Linked DNA regions of Alligator mississippiensis. The main gene of each other region encodes a partner of the protein of the gene in region 2 in a complex. Links are inferred from orthologs where the notes say so. Each region holds a gene or a part of one and is shown on either strand. Other genes may lie near its edges. The genes, in order: INSIG2 and SCAP.

Region 1 (11,092 bases), on a different chromosome or scaffold from region 2:
TTCCAGCTGGCTCATAAAAAGGTTGGCATACTGCAGGGCCATTTTGGTGCCCATAGCTGTTCCCATCGTCTGGAGGAAGTGTTGGTTATTAAAAGTGAAATTGTTGTGTGCGAGGATGAAGCGTATAAGGTCAGTAATATCTTTGGGTCTGTATTCTGAGTTGTAATCTTGTTTCTGTAGATATGTAAGGCAGGCTTGGATGCCATCCTGGTGTGGGATGTTGGTATATAGGCTGGTATGGTGGCTAGGAGGGTGTTGCTGGGAAGGTGGTCTATGTTTTTAAGTTTCTGTAGAAAGTCTGTAGTGTCTTGGACAAAACTTGCTCCATGGGTGATGAGCGGTTTTAGGACTGATTCAACGAAACCTGATATTTCTTCAGTTAGGGTCCCATGGTTGGATATGATAGGTCTGCCGGGGTTCCCTTGTTTGTGGATTTTAGGGAGCATGTAAAAATTCCCCAGGTTAGGTAGTGGGGGGATCAAGGTCTGTAGTTTTTTCTTGTAATCCTGTTGGAAATGATTTGATGGTATTGGTATTACAGGACTACAATGGTATAACAGGACTACAAGAAAAACTTGTAGTATGGTATAACAGGACTATGACGCATTATAACCTGCCTGACAGCTGACTTCCCAGGTACTTCTCCACTCTTCAGCCCCCTTCTCTCCCCCACCCCCACCCCCACCCAGCCTGTCTCTCACCCATTGATTCCTCAATCTAAATCTTCACTGACTGCCTGTCTTGTATGCAGACCAGCCCAGCCTCTAGCTTCTTTACTTTTCATTCCACCCAGGAAGAGCACACACCAACTGCTAACACTTCCTTAGCCTGACGAAGGGTTATTGAACCCAAAAACTTGCTTAAATATTATTCTCCAATTATTTAGCTGGTCTAATAAAAGATATCAGATTCACCCAAAGAACCTTGTCTGATAACAGTAGACGCATTTCTGGTGCTGCATCTAATCTGTTCCAATACTTGTTCTTTGTAGCACTGTGTCTTGAGAAGCCAGTCTCACTCATATAGGTCATGGCAAAGGGCATGAGATGTTTCACAGCTTGATTTGCAATTTCAGTATACTGATCGGTAAGGAATGCTAATTTTTGTATCCAAAAAATGTCATGAATTCTGGACAAGATATCAAATGATGGTCAGAAAAAAAGGTGCATCTCTTTTGACAATACATAAATGTGAAGAAGCACTATTCCATGGGATAGCCCTCAAACCTCAGTGTGTAGCAAAAGACTCATGTGAACACTGCCCATGACACAAAACAGAAAATATCTGGGAGTGAAGAGGCCTGGCTTTAATATAATTTTTCACTGTCCCATCAAGCACAATTTTAAGCTCTCTTGGCATACCCTTTCTAGCAAGAGCAAGTCCATGTAGACTACAATGTCTGCTTTCCATGAGAGGCAACATTTTTAATGCACGCTACCCACACCCTTGACTTTTTCCATCATGACTTTTGCACTGTTGATACAAACATCTGTACGAAGTTCCCAGTTAATCATATTCTTTTGCATAAAACAATTAAGGATATTGAATATAGCCTTGCCTTTTGTACTTGTTTTAAGCAGGCAGCACAACAGCAGGTCCGCATGTAGAAGATTAAAAAGTATAGCACACGATTATGAGCAAGATAGCCAATCCTTCTTCTTTGGTAGATTCATCTAGTTGAATAAAAAACCCAACAGGACTATTTTTTATACAACTACCTCTGCTTGCCAGTGATCAGAAAGATCTTTGATGTGGTGAGAAACTGTATGGTCTGCATGAGGAATAATAGCAATGAGCTTTCTTAATTTTTTCACCCATTGTGCAAGTTAAAATTCCTTTTGTTCATGGCTTCCCTAAATTTTCAGCAATCATATGCACATCATCCACCTTAGCAATTAAAGAACTCACTTACAGGCTTGACAGTACTGTGCTTGCCAGCACCACAACTGAAAGAGATCTGGGGGTCATAATAGACCACAGAATGAACATGAGCCACCAGTACAATGCCATAGCTGGCAGAACTAATCAAACACAGGCGTGCATCTACTGATGCATCTGAAACAAGACTAAGGATGTCATCCTCCCGCTCTACTCAGCTTTGGTGAAACGGCAGCTGAAGTTCTGCATCCAATTTTGGGTGCCGCACTTCAGGAAGGATGTGGAGAAGCTTGAAAGAGTCCAAAGAAGGGCCACGCGCATGATTAGAGGTCTGGAGAGCAGGTCATATGAAGAGAAGCTGAAAGACATGGGACTGCTAAGCCTGGAGAAAAGAAGACTTAGAGAGGACGTGGTGGCAGCCTGTAAGTATATAAGGGGCATACAGCAGGGTCTGGGGAAGCATCTGTTCACCAAGGCACCCCAAGGGAAGACAAGAAACAATGAACACAAACTGATTGAGGATTGCTTCAGATTGGAGATAAGTAAAAAATTCTTTATGACCAGAGTGCCATGGGTCAGGAACAAACTCCCTCCAGAGGTGGTACAGACACCTACCCTGGAGATCTCTAAAAACGTGTGGACGCACACCTTGCTGGGGTCATCTGACCCCAGTTGTCGTCTTCCCTGCCCTAGTGCAGGGGGGCTGGACCTGATGATCTCGTGAGGTCCCTTCCAGCCCCTAACATCTATGAATTTATGAATCCTTCAAGAGCATTTCTGTTGTCTTAACAACAAAATAACATTAGGTAGTGATTTTTTAATAAAATTGTTACATTTCCTTTTAAAATAATCACCATGCATGTCTTTAACTTGTGGGTGTTTTGCCTCCAGAAGCTTTTGTAACTTTGCTGGATTCAGGCTGCTGTCAGGCAAAACTTGTCCACACTCAACACACTGTCCATCTGTCTTGTTTTTATCACCAGTCCAAGTAAAACCATAGTTAATGTAGCTTGCATGGTACTTATGTTTTGGTTTTTGATTCATTGCTCACTGGATAAAGAGCTTGTGACTGATTTGATATGCTGGCACATATAACAATAGAAGCACTGGTAATTACTTCCTGTTGTATTGAAATCTGGCATTTTTCCTGACTACTTTTCTTAACGTTGCCTGTTTTCAGTCACCAATCCATACTTTTTCTTGGTAAATCAAAAATATAAAATATTAAGAGACAGTTCAACACTGCTCTGACATCAAGGCACTTGTCAACTGACTGATTGAAATACGACGACGCAGAGACAGAATAATCACATTGGAACACCAGGCCTACATTGCTGCCAGATTTCGATCATGTACCTCTGTTTGTAAACTGTCCATCAAAACAAGGCGGGCAAATCTCATATCGTATTATTGTCCTATGAATAAAACATATGGCATGGATCGTCTCAGCAGAAAGGGTTAGAAAGACTGAGTTAATGTTTTTTTATCAATAAGTCACCATTGGCGGTGCGTAGAAGGTGCATGAGGGTACACGTGCACCCCCCTGAGATTGGCTGCTGCTGATGGCGTCTGCGGGGTAGCCACTCACCATCCAGCCCCCACTGCCGACGCTGCCGGCGGCGTCTGCGGGTGGTCACCAATAGCCACCCCCCCACCTCACCGCCGCGGCCACCTGCCAGGGTCCCCATTCAGCCTGCCGTCACTGCTGACATCACTGTGGCTGCCTGCAGGAGGTCCCCACTCGCCACCGCCGCTGACACCGCCACCTGTGGGCGATCACCGTGCCTCCCCCAGCCTCAGGAGGCACGAGGTGGTCATGTAAGTGAAACACAAGAGTCAAATTGCAAAATTTCAAAAAATAATTAACAATAAGTATATTTTACAAACTTGTCTGCTATTACCAATTTTTTTCCATGGAGCCCCCAAGACCTCCTCCTGGAACCCCAGGTAGAACACAATTTGAAAACCACTGATCGAAAACACTGGCCTCTCTCTTGCATCTAATCTCATTTGAGTCAATGCAACTGGGTTTAAGAGAAATCACTGGTGCTGCAGTGGATGTAAAGAGCTTGTGTGTGTGCATGTGTGTGTGTGTTTAGCTATTCACATGATCAGGGCATTTAGTGCTTATGTTATGATTTATTTGCACTTTTATTACAGCAGTTCTTCAGGATCATTTCTTTGCTGCTTTATGTTTTAGTGTTATTCATTCTTTACATAATCATTTCTCTTCTCACCCGTGTTGTTACTTCATGGTGGTTTCCTCATTCCCGTAGTTCTCAAACTTTTTAGACTCAAGGTATCTCTCATTCTGCTCTAGGCAGCCCTCAGAAAACACCAGCTCTTACTTTTTACCCAAGTTTTTGACTATGGAAAAATAACAGAATAATTGTTTTGTGGCAAAGAACTCAGAAAGCCCACAGCAAGTCAGAATCTTTTCAACACTATGGATGCCTATTTGAAATCTCTGGGTTTATCGTGTGAATCACATCTGCACACCTAAGGGTGCTAACGTTGCATGGCACCCCACAGCACCCTTGAAAAGATCCAGGAGCAGATTACAGGGAGGCGCAATGGCAGTCACTCCCCACCCTCCTTTAATTCCTGGTCTACCCAAAGTTTAAAATCAACTGCCTGGCAGAGGCTGCAGCATCTCTATTCAGGCAGCAGTGAAGGCATCACTTATCTTCATGCCTCATTATAATCTACCTGATTCCTTCTAAACTTTTCATACCACAGGTGTTAAACAACTTCCTTTCCTTTGTAATGGCCCTTATGATCAAATAATTGAACTATCTTCCTTTTGCAATTCCACTACCTACTAGCTGCTCCTGGTAATGTAGTTCCTATTTCAGAGGCCTGCTGACTGTCTTTAGCTAAAAACATTAACTTAGGCATGAAAATACATTTCAGTGAAGTATTGGTTGCACTGTCATGATGTTCAAGAAGACTAGATTTTGTTTTAGGAAGCTGAAAGAGATCTGTACATATATTTCTAGTGACTACAGGACTAACGAAACACACTCGATCTCTTTCTTTTTTGCCTAGTTTGTTGTGATGTTTTTACGTGATCAGAGCCGTCCCTTGGGGGGGGGGGTGCAAATCAGGACCACCGCCCCGGACCCCATACTTTGGGGGGCCCTGCAGATAGTGCCATTGGCATGTGCTGAGGGCACCATCACGCTGCTCCGGCCACCCCCCCACCCCTGCTCCAGCCGCTCCCAACTCCCTCTCCCCACCGCTCGCCAACCCCTCCACCGCCATGTCCCCCCGCACAGGCTGATATGCCCTGGGCCCTGCACACGCCTAAGATTGGCTCTGTACACGATATACAACACAGCGAATTCATACGCGTCCCAATACGCATGTATTTGTTTTTGCTTTGATCTTCAGCTGAATAATATAGCTCTAGGCCTCTTGTAAAGCTTCTAGTTTTTATGTACCTTAAAAAAAGCGCGTGCTGCGTTCACAGCCAGATCTAGACTTTGAAAAGGTGGGGTGCCCAGGGTGAGGTGCATCGTCACCTGTTAAACAAAACACATTTTTCCTGAAGTTAAAAAAGAAACTAGCTTTTCCAATACACTGGGAACCTAGGGCTGTATGATTCAGTTTCAGGTTAGAGCAGAAACAAATGCAAGGAATTGAAAATAGCCCGCAGGGCTGTGAAATAGGAGCTTCATTACCAGGAGCAGCAAAAACAGGGCAGAGCGGCGGAGGAAAGGCTGGCTTGACCGGGGCAGGCAAGGGTCTTTGGGTAACGTGCATATAGAAAGAGACTCAAAGACCCTTGCCTGCCGATGTCCTTGGGCCAACCAAAAACCTAGCTTGCTGGGTGCGTTCAAAGACAGTTCAAAAGAAGAGAGGGTCCTTAACCCCAGAGGATGAAGACCTCAGATTCAATGAGCCATGATGTCAGGCGACTCCTCAGCGCCGCCCCACCACAAACACTGCTGCCAGGCAGTGGGGGGTTTAAACTTTGGCTGCAGCAGGCACCAAAAGGGAGACCTGACTTTATTTCTGGCTCATTGTCAGGGACCAGATTCCTTCTCCCCCCGGCTGCACTACATGTACTAATGTCCTGCAGCGCCTGCACCCCTTCCTCACACCCCTGGGAGGCCCTGCAGGAGAAGCACCGTGTGAACAAGGCTTCACCCTCTTGCAGGGGGGGACAAAAGCATCCCTCCTTTCCTGCATTTTCAAAAAACCTCAGATCTACCCAAAAAAACTGCCCTGTGCACCACTCCCCCGAAGCAGCTGCTCCCCCCCTCCCCCTCCCCCTTCTCCTTCTCCTTCTCCTTCTCCTTCTCCTTCTCCTTCCAATCCGCCCCTCCCACGTGCACCACTCGACTGCAGCGGAAGCGCAGCTGCCCCGACCTCCCCAGCTCCCCTCTGCCGGCCGGAAGTCCCTCCGCCCCGACTTCCCTCCCTCCCTCTTCCCAGGCAACCGGCCGGAAGTCCCTCCGCCCCGAATCCCCCTCCCTCCGGCCGGCCGGAAGTCCCTCCGCCCCGAGTCAGTTGCAGCGGGTTGAGGCGGGGGAGGGAGAAGATGGCGGAGCAGGGTGAGCGGCGGCGGCGCGGGGGCTTTGGGGGGTGGGGGATGATGCTGAGCGTGGACGGCATCGCCTGTCCGCCGGGGGGAGGCGCCCGGGCCTTGGACACGGTGTCAGGGGCGAGGCTGGGGCAGCCCTTGGCTGAGGGGCCTCCAGCTGGTGGGGGGTCTCAGGCCTGTCCCAGCTCTGGGGAGAAGCCCCCTGCGATGTGGGGCCCTGAGGTGGCCTCGCTGGGGCCCATTCTGCTCCCTCGGCTTTTGAGGGTCCCCCCCGGCCTCGCCTCCTCGCTTGAGGGACACCATCAATTTGGGGAGTCATTCGCGTGGGAGCTGGCGCCAAGTTACCCTCCTTTTGGCAGATGTCAAGCCCCCGCACCGCTCGGCCGTCCCGTGCCACTCGTGCTGGAGGTTGCCCACCCCTGTGCCAAGCGATTGGAGGTGCTCGTGAGGGTGGATGCCGTGACGCGCGGTGTTTGTAAGCCATCCATGGTGGCAGTTAAGTTAATTTGCGCGGCGTGGAGCATCTTGCCTGGTCACGTGTGCATGCCCTCGTGCAAAAGTTTGCGTTGAAGTAGCACGTCGCGGAAAGGATGAAGTGTGGCGAAAGCTGTCTCCTCACAGGCGTTGTCTCTGTCGCTTTCTGCTAGCGCCGTGGCGACGCGTCGGGGGTGCACGTGCACCCTGACTGGCCACGCTCCCCGCTTAGGTGATGGGGAGGGGGGCCTGCAGGGAGATTGGCCCCGGGGGGGACAGCCCCCAGTTGGTGACTGGTCCCTAGGGGGGGCACGTGCCCCCCCCCCCCACCCCTGACTAAGGTGGCTTTGAATTTCCATTTTCAAAAGAAGAAAGCTCAACGGTTCAACCATATTGTAGGTTCAGCATTCAACCTGTGATAGCCCAGTTTAGACAGGAATAGAAATTTGGGATGAAATGTAACAAGACTTCAATTATCCTGTGTGTGTGATACCTTCATACTTCCTATTCCCAAAGATGTTGTTCATAATTGACTCAAAAGATCTTGATCATGTCTCTCTTATTAGAGGAGGCTAAGTGATAATGCAGTCTGTATACATCGGACCTATGTGAGGATCGTGGTGCAAACCCTGAAAGGTACCGAGTTGGTTGTTAACTCTTCTTTACAGGTGGAGGAGCTGAGGAGCAGAAGTAAGGTGACTCACTATGAAGTGCTACAAAAAGTCAGCGTAGGATTAGAATTAATGAATCTCGGGGGCGTATTCTCCTGCTTAAACAATACACTGTGGTAGTAGCTCAAGAAAAGATGCTGGCTTTTACAAGCACATTCACAATGTGTATTGCTGCATTTGCACTAGAAATTTCATTAATCAGAGCAGTTAGATAAAATTATTTGAGCTTGGTATAGAGCAGAGGTTCTCAACCTGTGGTCTGTGGACCACCGCTGGTCCGTGAGCTCCATTCGGGTGGTCTGCAGAAAGGTTGTGGAACAATTGAGAATATCTGTACTTGGCCCTGCACTTGATTTATTTTTTCTGACGACAGAGATTAAGTCGTCCGCTGATAGCCTCAGCACTTTTCAAGTGGTCTGTGAAAAGAAAAGTTTGAGAACCACTGGTTTAGAGTTTGCTTTGTTAGTAGCATGATTACAGGTGAATTATAGCTGTCAAGTAACTATAACTACAAACTGCTATCCCTTTCATCTCATGCTTTCTGTTGTACTCTTTAAGTTGTGTAGCAATGTCACAGTCTGATTTGGAGGTCCCACAGCTGTTTTGAGGTTGAGTGACTTATTCCACTAATCTAATTTGACACAGGTCACTTGCCACTCTCCCTGTCTTTCATTTTACTTGATTCTCAATTTCCCTGTCTTGTTCTTCTGTCTCCCCCTCTTTGAGGGCAAGCATGATGTGAAATTACAATGGCAGCAATGAAGATAAACTTCCACTTTCTTATTTAAAGGAAAAAGTCTCTTAATGCAATGAAGTGCTGATGCAGTGCTGTTGAAACCAAAAATGTAAGACAGGTTTATTATCTTTCATATCATGCCAGTGATACATAATTAATTAAGAGGATAGCACAGTATCAACAGCAGAGACATGAGTCCTAGGTTAGGGCTGGGCTTTGCTAAGTGAGCTGTCTGACCAGAAAATCCAGGTAAAGTATAAGAGAAAATATCTACGAGAAGCTTATTTTCTATAAACTAGAATATGCCTTGTCTGATTCTCATTCAGTTAACAAGTCACATTAGCAATGAGATCTGTTAATATTCTGATCTGGTTATGTTTTAAACTCATTTAGCACTGTTGGAAATAACACAAAAATTAGGGTGACAACAAATCTCAAGCACTCCTAATAATAGTAACATTGAAAGATGTTCTAAAGAACTGCCACATGAAGTTGGCACATGAACTGCCACATGAAATTGCATGTCCAGTACCAGGTATTTTTAATACATCTTTACAGTTGAAGTAATACAGCAACTGTAGCATGGCAAATATGGTAACTGTTAAGAGAAGAAAGTTATTTTGGATGGTACCTATTGTTAAGAGCAGAGACTTATTTTGGAACTACTGGTCCATTGGCTCAACCTTAATTATATGCTAGGCTTCTGAGCAAATTGTGATTGGAAAAAAATAACTAAAGACTTGGGGATCACATCTGGGCACCCTCCAGCCTGAGTAGCCAGGTACCCATTTACAGCTGGGGACAGTCTTTGGTGAGTCTCAAACTCACATCTCTAGAGCTGTAGCAAAATGCTAAAATTGCTCAGAAACTGTTTCCCTCTGCTAGAGATAAGAAAGCATAAGTGGTGTAAGACAGGGCAATTCATGTGAAATACTGTGTTAAATACCAATTACCTGTGGGCAGGAAAGATGAACACTCACTCAACTGCATTCAGAAAAGTCTTCTAGCATGGTCAGTAGAGAACATTGAGCTTGTTTCTGAGTGGAGACTAAAAGACCTTTGCTGTTTTAGCCTACAAAAATAGGGATGAGAGAGGTATTACTGTGGTCTATAAATAGGGACCTACCAAATTGTGTGATTTTTGTGGAAGCTGTGAAATTGAGTAGGGTCCACAAAACATAGTGGGCTCTGCAATTTTGGTTGCCTCATTGCCATCCTCCCTGTCCCAAACTTACCGATAAGCAGAGAAAAGGGTGGGAAGCCCCACAGTCTTGGAGCATGAGGGTGGAGGGGCAAGAGTGGAGGTAGCAGGGAGGGGAGGAAGGGCACAGCTGCTCACAGCAAGAGGTGAGGATGCTGCACAAACAGCTGCACCAGGATCCCAGGTCAGCTATGGCAGGCAGCCAGGAGACTGCATTGTGGTCCACAGAGCCCTGGCCTAGGTTGTTGTGCAGGGCTCTACTGACCCCAGTGCAGCCCCACAGCTGCCTGCCAGAGCCAGTCCAGGACCCTGGTGCAGCCCCTTGGCAGCATCCACCCTTGGGGGTGGCCCAAAACCGCAGTTTAATAACTCTGTTTAAGCCTGGGGAAACCATTAATCCACATGTAATAATATGTGAATGAATGGCTTCCTCGAGCTTTATTAGGGTAATTAAGATGCAGTTTTGGGCTATCTGGCAATCTGTGGGGAGGGGCAGGACTGCTGGGGCCCCTTGGCCAATCAGAGGTGTGTGGCAGGACACTTGGTGTGCCTGCCACTTTAAGAGGTGAGGTAGTCTGCTGAGACACTTGCAGGTGGGGTCACCTCTAATTATAAATCAGCTGACCCAGGGACTGGCAGGTGTGGCTAGGCCTAAGCCACAGGTTCACCTGCTTGCAAGGGAGATCCCTGATTGGAAGAGGGCTGGGCTTAGACTGGGTATAGGCCCAGAGCCTGGAGGCAGGGTTGGGAATAACATCTTGGGAGTTGGTGAAGGAACATCACCCAGCAGGAAGGTTGCAGCTCCTGAATTCTAGCTGGGTGAGTGTAGTGAGCATGGGGGCCTATTGAGAGGCCTGGATGAGCCCAGAGAAGGAAAGGGGCTGCGAAGAGGGACCTGTTGAGGGCTCCGGGTGAGCTCAGAGAGAGAGCAAATGATCTATGGAGGAGAGAGGGCTGGCAGCTGCAGGACTGACCCTGGGAACCTTGACTGGTCCAAGCTGGGGCCAGGGCCCAGGAAGGGCTGACGGGTGAAATAGCCCACTGCAAGAGACTACAAGAACTGGAAGATTGGAGTCTTGACTGGCCTGGAGGCAGGGCCAGGGCCTAGGAGAGGCTAGAAAGTCCCTGTGGGGGGTAGGGGGCAGGAGGGGCACAGCCAAGAGGGAGGGGTCAAGCAGCAGGTAGCCCAGGATGATGATGGATGGTGCTAGGTTATCTGAAAAGGAGGGATCATTGAGAACATGGGTCCAAGAATGAGCTGGGACCAGAGATAGAGCCAGGGCCAGGGGACCTGGTAGTTCACAGCCCAGGAGAGGGTAGGACATCAAGGGGAAGCTCAGAGAAGGATAAGCAAGATCAAATAGGCCTGAAGACCTGTCCTGGGTAAGATCTGAAACTACACCTTACTGGAGCTGGTTAGTGTGGTGAGGCTACCTGTGGTGGGGCAGCCCTCTTGAAATGCCACACATGAGCCACTCCAAGGCAAGGTGAGGAGGGGGCACAGGAAAGCCTCAACTCCCACTGCCTTGTGGGTTACCCCATGGAGGGAGAAGGCTTGGGGAGCATACCCTGACAGAAATGCA
Region 2 (11,539 bases):
TGAAACTGGAACAGGTGTCCTAGCCTCAGGGTACAGGTCAAAAGATTCACTGGAAGAAGTCATCTTCTACCACCATCTATCTATTTTAGAGTCGGACTCCTCAGATGAGGAACCACCACTGATTCTGAACGCCAACGGCTTCTGCAAACTATGAGCCACAGAGATGCACTATTGCAGAACTCCTGCAGCCTTCCCCCCACAAACCCTACAACACATGGAATAAAAAGCTTCTCATCTCTGCCTTTAAGGAGGAGGGAAAGGGCATCCAGTTAGAGTCTGGGTCCAATGAGAAGACTGGTGGGACAATTTGGGGGGGCAGTGCCTTGAAGACAGAGGAGCAGCCTGAATGTGTTTGCCAGTGAAAGATGCAGGACACTGAAATGGGGAAACAAAGAGTAAAATGATCACAGGCCACAAGCCGAAGAGGCAAGAAGTTCACTATAAAGAACTTAACATGCAGCCCGAGCTTTCCTGGATTCATAGGATTTGCTGTTCTTCCAGGCTGTATCCCTTTATAGCATAAGCACTTTGCATGTCAAGAGCACTTAATCATTTGTAAAGTTCAACTCCCTCCATCAGGATGCCAACAAAAACACCAACATCAGGGCTGCTGATGTGCTAAAACCAATGTCGATGATGCTGACTAATCCAGTCTCTTAGTATTCCTCCCACCTGGCTGCACCCATCTGATCTTTCTGGTCTTCCCCTTTGATTACAAGCTCTTTGCTGCTGGCACTGGGTTTCTGGTTTTTTTATGGTGCATTTATACTGCTCCAAGCACAGAAGAGCCATGATCCAGGACTGGGGCTCCTATGTTATTTGTATTACCAAAGCACCAAAAAAGCCATTTTATAAAGTGAAAATCATCCTACCCTACAGACCGGCATGGACAGCCAGAGTTTAAGCAGCTTTCTTCCAAGAGACACAGCAAGCTAGCAGCGATCAGGAATAAGCCAAACAAATCCTGACCTCCACACATTCGGTAACATCTCTGCACCACAGCCACTTCCTTCTTCTTTAGCTTGTCCACTTTAGTTATTTGTCCTCAGCTACAGCCCCCCTTAGTTGCTCAGCCAAGCTTCATCTCTTCCAGTCTGAAGAGCAGTCATTCTTTCCAACCCCCCGGTTGAATGATTTACTTCCATGTCTGTGATGAGATTCTTACTGGACATATCCACATATGATTTAAATAATTCTCCCAACAGCTATCCTCAATACCAACTTCATTTGACAAATTTCATACACCTTGGTTTCAAGTAGTAGGAGGCTGTTTATGCAATCCTGAAACAGAAAACTGACTCTGTTCTGCTCTTCTATAGCTTTTAGTGGATCAAATTATTCAAGCTAGATTTCATAATGTAAACATATGATGCTGAAATTCAAACATTCAGATCAGAGCTAGAATCAGCCATTCAGGTGATTCCTCTCAGTCATGGGATGAATGAGAGGCCAACAGCAGCACAACAACCAGCAGTTTATACGTGCAGAATTAAAAAAAACCAGAAAAACTCCCCCACCAACCCTAAGCCACTTTTTTCTTTTTTTTTTTTTAAAGAAAGGAATAAACCAACTGATCCATTTGCTGAAACACCACAGCTCCTGTAATCCTAATCTTATGACATTAATTAAAATGTCTGTGGCAATACACTAATTTCAAGCACTGGGATCCCAGGACAAACAAAAGCAAGGTACAAAAGAGGAGCTTGTTTGTATTTTACGAACCGTCAGAAAACTGGAAGCTGCATCCAGAGATTTTTGGCAAAAGGCATTGGACACAACAGCTCCTTCTCTCCATGCTCCAAGTCCCAAATGCACAACTTCTCCCCCTTGTAACGGACAGAGAAGTCCAGCTCCCTCCCCACTGATTTCAGAAGCCGCCACCTGCTCTTTCAGAGCTGGAACGTTTGCTGGATTCACAACCCCATGGATTAGACTGCTAACCAGCATGAAAAAAAAAAAAAAAATACATGGTCCACCAGGTCCATCAGCCCACAGCAGCATCCACAGGACTTCCCCTCCTTCTCACACGTCCTCTTAGTGCCTATTTATTCCCCGTGTCTTCTGCACCCACGCTCTGCCCCCTGCTCTCCTTTTGCAAAAGGAGCAACAGCTCAGAGTCATAACACTACACCAGTCACTACCCCCTGCCTTCATCCGTGGGATGATCAGATGCTCTGTTCCCTATTTTTATTCCCTTCTTCTGCAGGCAATGGCTCCCCTACAGCCCCTCAGGCCACCCTATGCTTCCACAAGCCTCAAACAAGAAGTTTCTCCCAGCTGAATGTTTTGGGCTCTTCTACAGAGGTGAACAAGCAACCAGCCCTCTCTACTTCTCTTCCCACATCTAGCACTTGCCTCCAATAGTCTCAGTGTCCAGCTACAGGAGGGACAGAGATCCCCGTCTTCTGCAGGTCTTAAGCAGCTTCGGTCTCTGCAGGGTAGGTAAGGTTAGCTGAATGGTCCTCCCTTCCCTTTCCCCAGGCTGTTTAATGCTGCCACCCTCCTTAGTTACTATTTAACCCTTTCACCAGGCAAGGCCGCTTGGGACGCAGCACGCACCATGCCTGAGGGAGCAGTTCTTGCCTAGCAGAGCCTGATTCCCAGCCCACAACCAAGCATCTAAAACAAGCCCCTCAGGTGCACCAGCCTGCTCGACCGGAGCCCGAGCAAGACAAGCTCGGCCCAACACGCCTACACGGGGCCCCGTCACACCTGGATCAGAGGAAACCAGCCCTCTACTCACAGCTCAGGCTATACAGCTCGTTTCTGTCGGTCTGCAAGGTGCAAACCTACACGGCTCCCAGACTAACACAGACCTCTCCTTGGCAGTGACTTCTCCACCTCCCTGGCTAGGCCCAGCCATCTCCTAACTGGAAAAAGGAGGCAACAAATCCCCCTCCCCAAACTGCCGGGGCCAAGTGGCTTCTGCTTGACTGACGAGCAGGGTCAGGTAATTAGCATGATGATAACAGTAATAATCATAGTGATACCCATCATCAGATAAAGATACTAATGACAAACAAAGTAATGAGGCTATTGATACTAATAAAATAACAACATTAATACCCCCTCCCCCCCCGCCATCAATGGGCACTAATACCTTCCCCCACCAGGAAACAAAGGGCACTAATACCACCCTGCCTCCCCCGGGCATCAGTGGGTACAAATACCACCACCCCCAGGCAACAATGGGCACTAATACCCACCCACCCCTGGCATCAATGGGTACTAACACCACCCTCACCACCACCCCAAGGCAGCCATGGGCACTAATACCCACCCCCCCCCCAGCATTAATGGATACCAATATCCCACCCCCCAGGCATCAATGGGCATTAACCCCTGCCTCCCCCCAGGCATCAATGGGCACTAACCGCCCCCCCTGGCCAGGCATGAATGGACACTAACACCGACCCCCCCCCCCAGCATCAATGGATACCAATATCCCCCCCCCAATCAATGGGTACTAATACCCCACAACAATACCAATACAACTAATAAGCAGGGATCTGCTTATTTTCTCTGATTGGGGATTTGTTTTTCTATTTTTGGTTAAAAAAAAGTAACCCCAACTCCACGTTGTTCTGTGACTTTAAATGAAACGCTGCCAATATACAGATATACATATATAATATACAAGCATCTGTATGTACTGCAGAGGTACATGTATATCTATATATTGACGGCGTTTCGTTTAAAGTCACAGAACAACGTGGAGTTGGGGTTACTTTTCTTTTTGTTTTAAACCAAAAATGGGGGTGTTTGTTTGTTTTTTTTAAGTCATAGAAAGCCAGGATCCCTGCTAGTGAGATATTACTTGCGATACCAAGTGACAATATTAATAAGTAACGATACCAATCAATAACGGTATGAACGATACTAGTATGATACTGATTATGATACCAATAACTACCGTTACTCCCCCAAGCAAGGATACCTTACTATACTTCCACGAAAATCTTTAGTAAAAAGGTGAAAGATTTATGCGATCTGAAGAGAAACCAGAGTATACCAGAGAAACCTTATTATACTTACTGACTAATAAGGAACAATAACAATACACAGCAATATATCAATGATACTAGTAAGATATTAAACGTGACACCAACAATGGGACCAATCGCACTCGGGACACCAATAAATAACGGTATCAACGATGCCAGTAAGGTATCGATTGCGATACCAATAAGTAACGATACTTATTGACCGAGTAATCAGGAACAACAGCAATGGTTACTAATAAGTAACGATACCAATAAACAGCGATGATCCCAAGACGCGGCAATACCAATGATACAGGTAAGGTATTCATTGTGCCACCAATAACGGGACCAGTCGTAAAACTGATGTAAAGTCAGTCAGTGCCGGCACCAACGGCAGGGATGACACCCGCCCCGCCCCCGCTACTAACCATGGCACCGGGGGGGAGGGAGGGGGGCAACACCACCGCGGAGGCCACGACACGACCCGCGCTGCTAACGGCGCCCCGCCTGAGGAGAATGGGTCGGGGGTCCCGCCCCCCGGGGCCGGAAGTAGGGTCCGCACCTTCCGGCCGCGCCACCTTCCTGGCGCGCTCAGCCTCGCTCCGGCTCCCGGCCGGCTGCGGCTGCAGCTCCCTGCGCCCTCTGCCCTCTCACCCCGTGACGTCACGCCGCGCCCACGCATGGCCCCGCCCATCCAGCGCGTGGCCACGCCCCCGCCCGCCCGCCCGCCAGCCAGAGCGAGGCAACATGGCGGCGGGGGTGGGACGGCGTGGAGCAATATGGGGTGGGGAGTGGGGGCACATCTGGAGTGCTGTGTCCAGCTGTGACCCCCCCCCCCCCACTACAGAAAGGATGTGGACACATTGGAGAGTCCAGTGGAGGATAACAAAAATGGTGGTGGGGCTGGGGGACAGGACTGGTGAGGTGAGGCTGAGGGAAATGGGCTGATTTAGACTGCAGAAGGGAAGACTGAGGAGGATTGAATAGCAGCCTTCAGCTCCCTGCAGGGGGTTGCACAGAGGATGGAGCTGGGCTGTTCTCAGTGGGGGCAGATGACAGGACAAGGAGCAATGGGCTCAAGCTGCAGCAAGGGACGTTGAGGTTGGATATTAGGAAAAACTCTCACGAGGAGGGCGGTGATACACTGGAACCGGCTCCCCGGAGCAGCAGAGGAGTCTCCATCCTTGGAGGTTTTGAGGACAAGCCCGGGTGCGTTGAGGCTAACGTCTATGAGACGTGACCTCCCGAGGTCCCTTCAGCCCTCGTTGTCCCGGTCCACGATCTGCGCGACGTTATTTCTGCGCGGTGCCTGAGGGGGAGCTCCGGGGTGGGGGGGACGATCCTCTGGATGGTTAATCCGGCCACCCAGACGGGGTCGGTAAAGCAAGGGCACGCTGGAAACGATTATGGCATCGCCACGTGTGCGCTGGCAGCCGTTTCATCAAACCGTTCCTTATAAAATAAGCTAAAAATCCCTTGTAAAAACCCATCCTGCTCTCACAGATGAGGGTAAAGGGTGGTCAGATGCCCACGTCTCTCTGAGGATCGTTGCTGACGTGCCCGTGGTGAGGAGCATAATACTCAACCGCTAGGACCAGGATGATCGTGAAAGCCAGACAAGCAACTGGTGAACGAATCGTCCCGGGGTGCTTGGAGGGAGCGAGCCCTCGCTGACAGGTTCAGGTACCTTTGACCATTCGTGGAAGCACTTGGACCTCCTGCAGAAAAGCCAGGATCGGCGTGGAGGGGGAGAAACATTAACAATATTTACGCAATTTGGAAGCTTCCTCTCAGTGACCTCCAGTGGGATGGTGCTTCTAGGCAAACCTTTGCTGGCTGGATCAACCCCTGCAGCGCAGCACCAAGGCAACTGGGCTCCCGCTGCTGGGCTTCGGCAGCCGCTGGAGAGGACATGGAGCTGCCCGACGAGCTGTCACGATGCCGGAGAGGGAGAGGTGCTTTTAAAGCCAGGGTGGCAGCAAGACTGGCCCTTCCTAGACTTGCAGTTTCGGTGCCTTTGCAGCCCAATGACAGAGCAGGGTGGGAGCTGAGCCAACAGCACAGCAGATCATCTCACAGAGGCATCAGCTGCCCTAAGCCAGACTTGCTGGACCGCCCATGCTCCATGCCATGCTTGCGGGACTGTGTGGTCAGTGCAATACGTAGGAACCCCCTCCTTTGTCAGAGGCCAGGCCTGTGCTATCACTGCCTAGACTTGAGCTGTTGAAGATAGCTCAGGCTGGCCTCCAGGGACACAGCAGCCAGGGGCCCTGCAGGTGACATAGTCCTGGGCACACTGGCAAGGCTGAACAAGTGCTGGGAGAAGCAGAGACAGGCAAGGAGCAGCAGGGACAGACAAGAACGCTACACGCTGTTGCAACCGGCATCATCTGAATGCACACACAGACGTCACATACCTGCTAGCTTCGCTCTGGCACCTAGACACCCTCCCTGCACACCAGACTCCCGTCGTGCTAGGTGCTGCACAAAGCCATTTGCTCCCCCTGATGGTAGAGGAAGCTAGGGTCTGTTAGGGTCTCTGATCAGGCATGCCCAGCTAGGCCAAGCACCCGAGTTTCTCGCCTGCCCCTGATCCCTGGTTAATCCGACCACCCCAGTTCTCTGCAACTGAATGGCAGCTGAAGGCACCACTCACCCCTTTCAAGCACACCTGCAGCCCCAGGTCTGTTTTGCAAGCCTCATGGACGCTGCTATCTGATTCTCCTGGCTCCTGACTTGGCTTCAGCTTTCCCTGGCCCTGACCCTGAATCTGCCCTGGAACTTGGTACTGGCTCTCTGACCCCTGGTTTTGGATCTCAGCTCACGTCGCACTGTGCCTATTGGATCTCCCTTTTTCGCTCTCCTGGACCTTGGTCCCTGCTTTCTCCAACCTTCCAACCCAGACCCCAACCTGGCACTTGGGTAATGAATGCTCCCACCTGGTTGACCCCCAGGTTGCTCCTAGTGGCCCAGCTGCCTATGTCCCAGATGAACCCTCATGGGGCAGCTCCAAGGGACATTGCAGGTGTTCCCCACATGCAGCAGCTGCACCCGGGAGTCTGAGCAAGGGCAGGACACTGCAAAACCACGTTGTCCACATCAATTGCTGCAGGGCATTAACTTCCATTCATGACTGTAACAACCTCCTTGTGTGGCCTACGAGAGCCAGGTGCCCAAGGTTAGCTCTGGGTATGTGAATTACTCCCCCAGGTCCAGGCATTTGTGGAAGCGGGGCAGATTGTGCTGAAGCACAGGCTGACCTTTCCTCCAAGGCTGGGGCAGTCCTGCCAAGGGATGAGGTTACCATTGTGGCTTCCAGCCAGGCTGTGATAATAGGGAATTAATTGAAATGTTTCCGTGTGTCAAGCCCACACTCGGCACCTGCAAGCAGCCGCTTGTTGTAGGCCATGTCTGCTGTAGCAGAAACAGGATGAAAGCAACCATGTCATGGTGACTGGCTTGCTGTGACTTGCCAGGACTCAGTTCGGGACAGCACCCACCATGGAGCTGCCCAGCAACCTGTCACAATGCCAGAGGGAGAGATGCAAGATGCACTTTTCCTATGCCCACAGATTCAGCTTCTTCACAGCCTGAGGACAGAGCAGGGTCAGAGCTGAGCCAGCAGCACGTCAGAACATCTCACAGAGGTGTCAGCTGCCACAGGTGGGGGAGAAGCAAAACCCTGGCATCTGAAACCCTACACAAGCCATGCAGGGAATAAAAAAGGTATTCCCATGTCCAGTGGACACCTGAGAATAGGTAACCAGGGGGCGGTGGCACTGGGGGGGGGTGGGGAGGGACAGAGCAGGGGAAAGAGCAGAGAACAAAGCAGCAGCAGCAGCAAAGAGACTAGAAAAGGTCTGACCCCTGCTCTGATGACATCTCTCTCCACAGTGCTGCTTTTGGGGCACGTTTTTCAACCCCTTCACTGGAGCGTCAGCTGCATTACGTGATGCCCAGCCCCAACCTTGCTGTGGCCTGTTTACATTCGTTGCACCGGGACTTTTCCCAGGTAGAGGATGGGGTTTTCCTATAAGTTTGTCAATACTGTGTTTTAAATACCCCGCGGGGGTGGTCTCTGTCAGGTCCCAGTTGGAGCACAGTGTTGCCATGTCTGGTCCTGGGACTATGGCCCTTGCTGCACATTTTCCCAGGCCAAACACCATTGCTGGATTGGTGGGGGGTATCCAGAACCATTCCAGGAAGGACACATTGCTGCCAGGATGTAGACGTTCCCCTTCAAGCCTCAAATTTCTTCTCCCACTGTTCTGCTTTGCAAACAGCACTTTAGATAGATTTGGGTACTCTGAGATCACGGACTTCCTAACTGACTTCCTGCCCATTGGTCAGGCTGGATTCAATCTGACGAGGGGGCTGGATTCAATCTTACGAGGTTCCATCCAGCCCTAATGTCTATGAAATCTATGAATTGGACAAGCAGCCAAGCTTCTACAATATATGAAGAATTACAGTCATGACCTCCTCATGCCTTCAGCCCCCCTCTACATGGTAGCTTTAAACTGACCTGGGAAGTTAGTGACATGATTGGCCCTAAACCATGTCTCATGTATTTAAAACTTGCTGACACCCTTGCCTCGCTTTTGTGGCTGCCTCCCTGTTTCTGCAGGGTGGACAAGGTCCCTCAGCAGGGGGTGTCAAATTACTCTCCCAGACCTCTGTGTGGGCATCCCTAAAATGATCCGCTTCGCCCGCATGCACGTCAAACAGGCATTCTCCTCCCTGCTGAGGTTTTCCTAGAAGGCAGTCTTGCAAGCTAGGTGAGGTGGCAGACTGGATGTGGAGCAGGGTTGCCAACTGTCCATAAATATACAGACAACCCATAAGCAGTAGGGGGAAAAACAAACCCTTGATGCACAAAAATAATGGGAACTGTCTCTAAAAAACAGAGAATCAGTGAGCTTGATGGACAGACAGAGCAGAGCAGTGCCACCTAGCATCGGAGTGGGAGCATGGCACCCTGCAGAGAGCACTTTCCAGGGCTTTGTGGTTCCCCCCTTCTCTACTCCCCATCCATGTGCTGCCACTGCATTCCCCCACCCCTTATGCCTGCCTCTAATAGCTGCTTAGCCAGCATGGAGCTGTAGGGTTGGGAGAAGGGAAAGGCGGCAGATAGAGGTCTGTGCTAGGACAGGTGGTGCAGGGCCGGTCGGGGTAAGGCTGTGGGGTGAGATGGGAGTGTGGTCAAGGGTGTCAGTGTGTGAGAGGTGAATAGGGGACCTTGGGATGGGTGTAAAAACATTGCTGCAGTCAAGCAGGGTCACCAACCCAAGACATTTTTTTTTACTAATGATCTGCAAACAATTTTTATTATGGTGGGTGTTAACCCCTAAATATGAGCCCGGCCCTTGTCCCGGGCCTGGCAGAAGGATTATGCAAGACATCTGTCAGTAAAAACACGTCAGTAAAAAAAGTTCTGTCATCAGTAAAAAGTTTGCAGGTTGTCAGTAAACAAAAAAAAAATCTGGAATTGGCAACCCTGACGTGGAGACGCAACAGAAGGCTCCTGGAGGTTGCTTTGTGGCTACAATCCAGCCAGGCCTGTTTTAGATGACTTAGATGAAACCAGGTTGGTTGCAAGAACGTGATTGCACTTTGCCATGGAGATTGGGGGAGCCTGGACGTTCCTCCTGTCAATACACGGAGCATAGAAAAGCAAGCTGCACAGTGGTGGAGGCTCTTCTGCAAAACTACTAGCATGCTAGAAACACTGTTGCTTCCCCACTGGATGCTGCTTCTGGCCAAGCCCGTGTTGTCACTTCTTGCCCCAGGCTCCAGGCCATTTTCACCTGTCCTTTTGAAGAGGAGCTGCCAGTGCTCACTGCCTCTCAGATTTGGCTGCAGAGAGGATCTCCCATTTCTATCCAGGCATCAGGACTTGGGGGTTACAGCGGACAATAAGATAGTTATGAGCCAGCAGCGTGCCCTTGTTGCCAAAGGGGCTAACAGCATCCTGGGCTGCATTAGTAGGAGCGTTACTAGCAGATTGGGGGAAATGATTCTTCCCCTCTATTCTGCACTGATGAGGCCACATCTGGAGTCTTGTGTCCTGTTCTGGGCCCCCCACTACAGAACGGATGTGGACAAGTTGGAGAGAGTCCAGTGGAGGGCAATGAAAATGGTTCAAGGGCTGGGGGACAGGACTGGTGAGGAGAGGCTGAGGGAACTGGGCTGATTTAATCTGCAGAGGAGAAGACCGAGGGGGATTGAATAGCAGCCTTCACCTCCCTGCAGGGGGGTGCAAAGAGGATGGAGCTGGGCTGGTCTCAGTGGGGGCAGATGACAGGACAAGGAGCAATGGGCTCAAGCTGCAGCAAGGGAAGTTGAGGTTGGATATTAGGAAAAACTCTCTCTCTAGGAGGGTGGTGAAGCACTGGAATGGGTTAAACAGAGAGGTGGTGGGATCTCTGTCCTTGGGGGTGTTTAAGACCTGGATAGACATCCTTAGCTGGGATGATGTAGCTGGGGCTGGTCCTGCTTGGAGCAGGGGGTTGGACTGGATGTGACCTCCTGAGGTCCCTTCCAGCCCTCATTTTCTATGATCAGCTCATTGGCATAGTGCCCTGGATGCCCCCTTCTCGTTGCAATGATCACCCTCAAACACTGCGTGCCTCCCTGCAGCTCACAGGTAAGAAGCAAGATGGGCCTCAAAACCCTCCATCAAGTCCTGAACTTTCCAAGAATCCCAGCCCAGGGCCAGTTTCCCCCAACCGGCATTGCAGGGAGCAGCCTTGTGTTCCAGGAGGCCCTTGGACATCAGGAACTGTCTGCAAAACTGTCATTTCTAGAGGGGAAGCAATGGGGACCTGCTCCTGCGCCTGCCCCCTAGATGCTCTTCCTGCCCTGCAGGAGATATGTGGGCCTCACTGGAGCACTGATCACTGGAGGCCTCACCACAAACCTGACCGATGCATGAACTCCGCACAGAAACAAAACTTGGAGGACTCACATGCCAAGAGCTGGGAAGCAGAGCTGAGGGTACAAGGTGGGATAGTCCAGTGGCAGGATGATGAGGCTGGAACAGGAACACCCAGGTCAGGATGTGAAACAAGCCCCGGTAAAGGACGGTTCGAGATCTTCAAGATGCAGATGGAATAATTTTGTTTGGAGCGCTGTATAAAAGGAGAACTGGAAAGCAATGGCAGCTTGCGTGGTGGTGTGCCGACTACCTGGTCACACGAACAGATGTCTCGGCTCCTGGTCTGATGCGCTTGTTAAGTCAAAAACGTGTTAGGGCTGTGCTTGTAGACAATAAACGTGAACGAATCTTTGCCACTGAAGCGAGCCTGTGGTCATCCTTTAAGACAAGGTTCATGTTGGGATCTTCTGGCTGCCACTTTGCTGGCACTGCAGTTCCTGAGACTTCAACACTGGGAGCACATCAGTAGCACCTGACGAGGGCAGCAGCAATGACACAATGATAACGTCAGAGGACAGGATAGTGCTGCACCTGGGTGCCACACATAGCAATGGGCAGCTGGAGAGCACGAAGAAGCATCATGTACCAGCTCTCAGCAGCCACGACAACCTAGAAGACC

The links.
Region 1: the proteins of SCAP (region 2) and INSIG2 are in contact, whole or in part, in a cryo-EM structure (PDB 7ETW), measured with the Homo sapiens proteins. The link is inferred for Alligator mississippiensis from reciprocal best matches to the Homo sapiens genes SCAP and INSIG2. Residues at the interface, in NP_036367.2 of Homo sapiens: Pro200, Ser206, Val282, Ala283, Glu284, Ile286, Pro287, Thr290, Ile294, Ala297, Tyr298, Phe301, Lys305, Tyr351, Val354, Val355, Glu359, Thr409, Leu410, Val411, Ser638, Tyr639; in NP_001308258.1 of Homo sapiens: Phe41, Val45, Leu48, Leu49, Ile51, Val55, Leu57, Phe58, Pro59, Val62, Ser65, Ile66, Glu104, Trp105, Ser106, Met109, Arg110, Val112, Ala113, Val114, Val116, Gly117, His120, Gln132.

The regions. Positions count from the first base shown.
Region 1 is NC_081827.1:242,410,807-242,421,898, forward strand, and holds the start of INSIG2 (insulin-induced gene 2 protein), read left to right. Parts: upstream 1-6,348; 5' UTR 6,349-6,437; intron 6,438-6,792; exon of another isoform or gene 6,793-6,865; intron 6,866-11,092. UniProt on the Homo sapiens protein: Oxysterol-binding protein that mediates feedback control of cholesterol synthesis by controlling both endoplasmic reticulum to Golgi transport of SCAP and degradation of HMGCR.
Region 2 is NC_081828.1:217,457,477-217,469,015, forward strand, and holds the start of SCAP (sterol regulatory element-binding protein cleavage-activating protein), read right to left. Parts: upstream 4,646-11,539; 5' UTR 4,546-4,645; intron 4,514-4,545; exon of another isoform or gene 4,412-4,513; intron 1,934-4,411; exon of another isoform or gene 1,723-1,933; intron 1-1,722. UniProt on the Homo sapiens protein: Escort protein required for cholesterol as well as lipid homeostasis.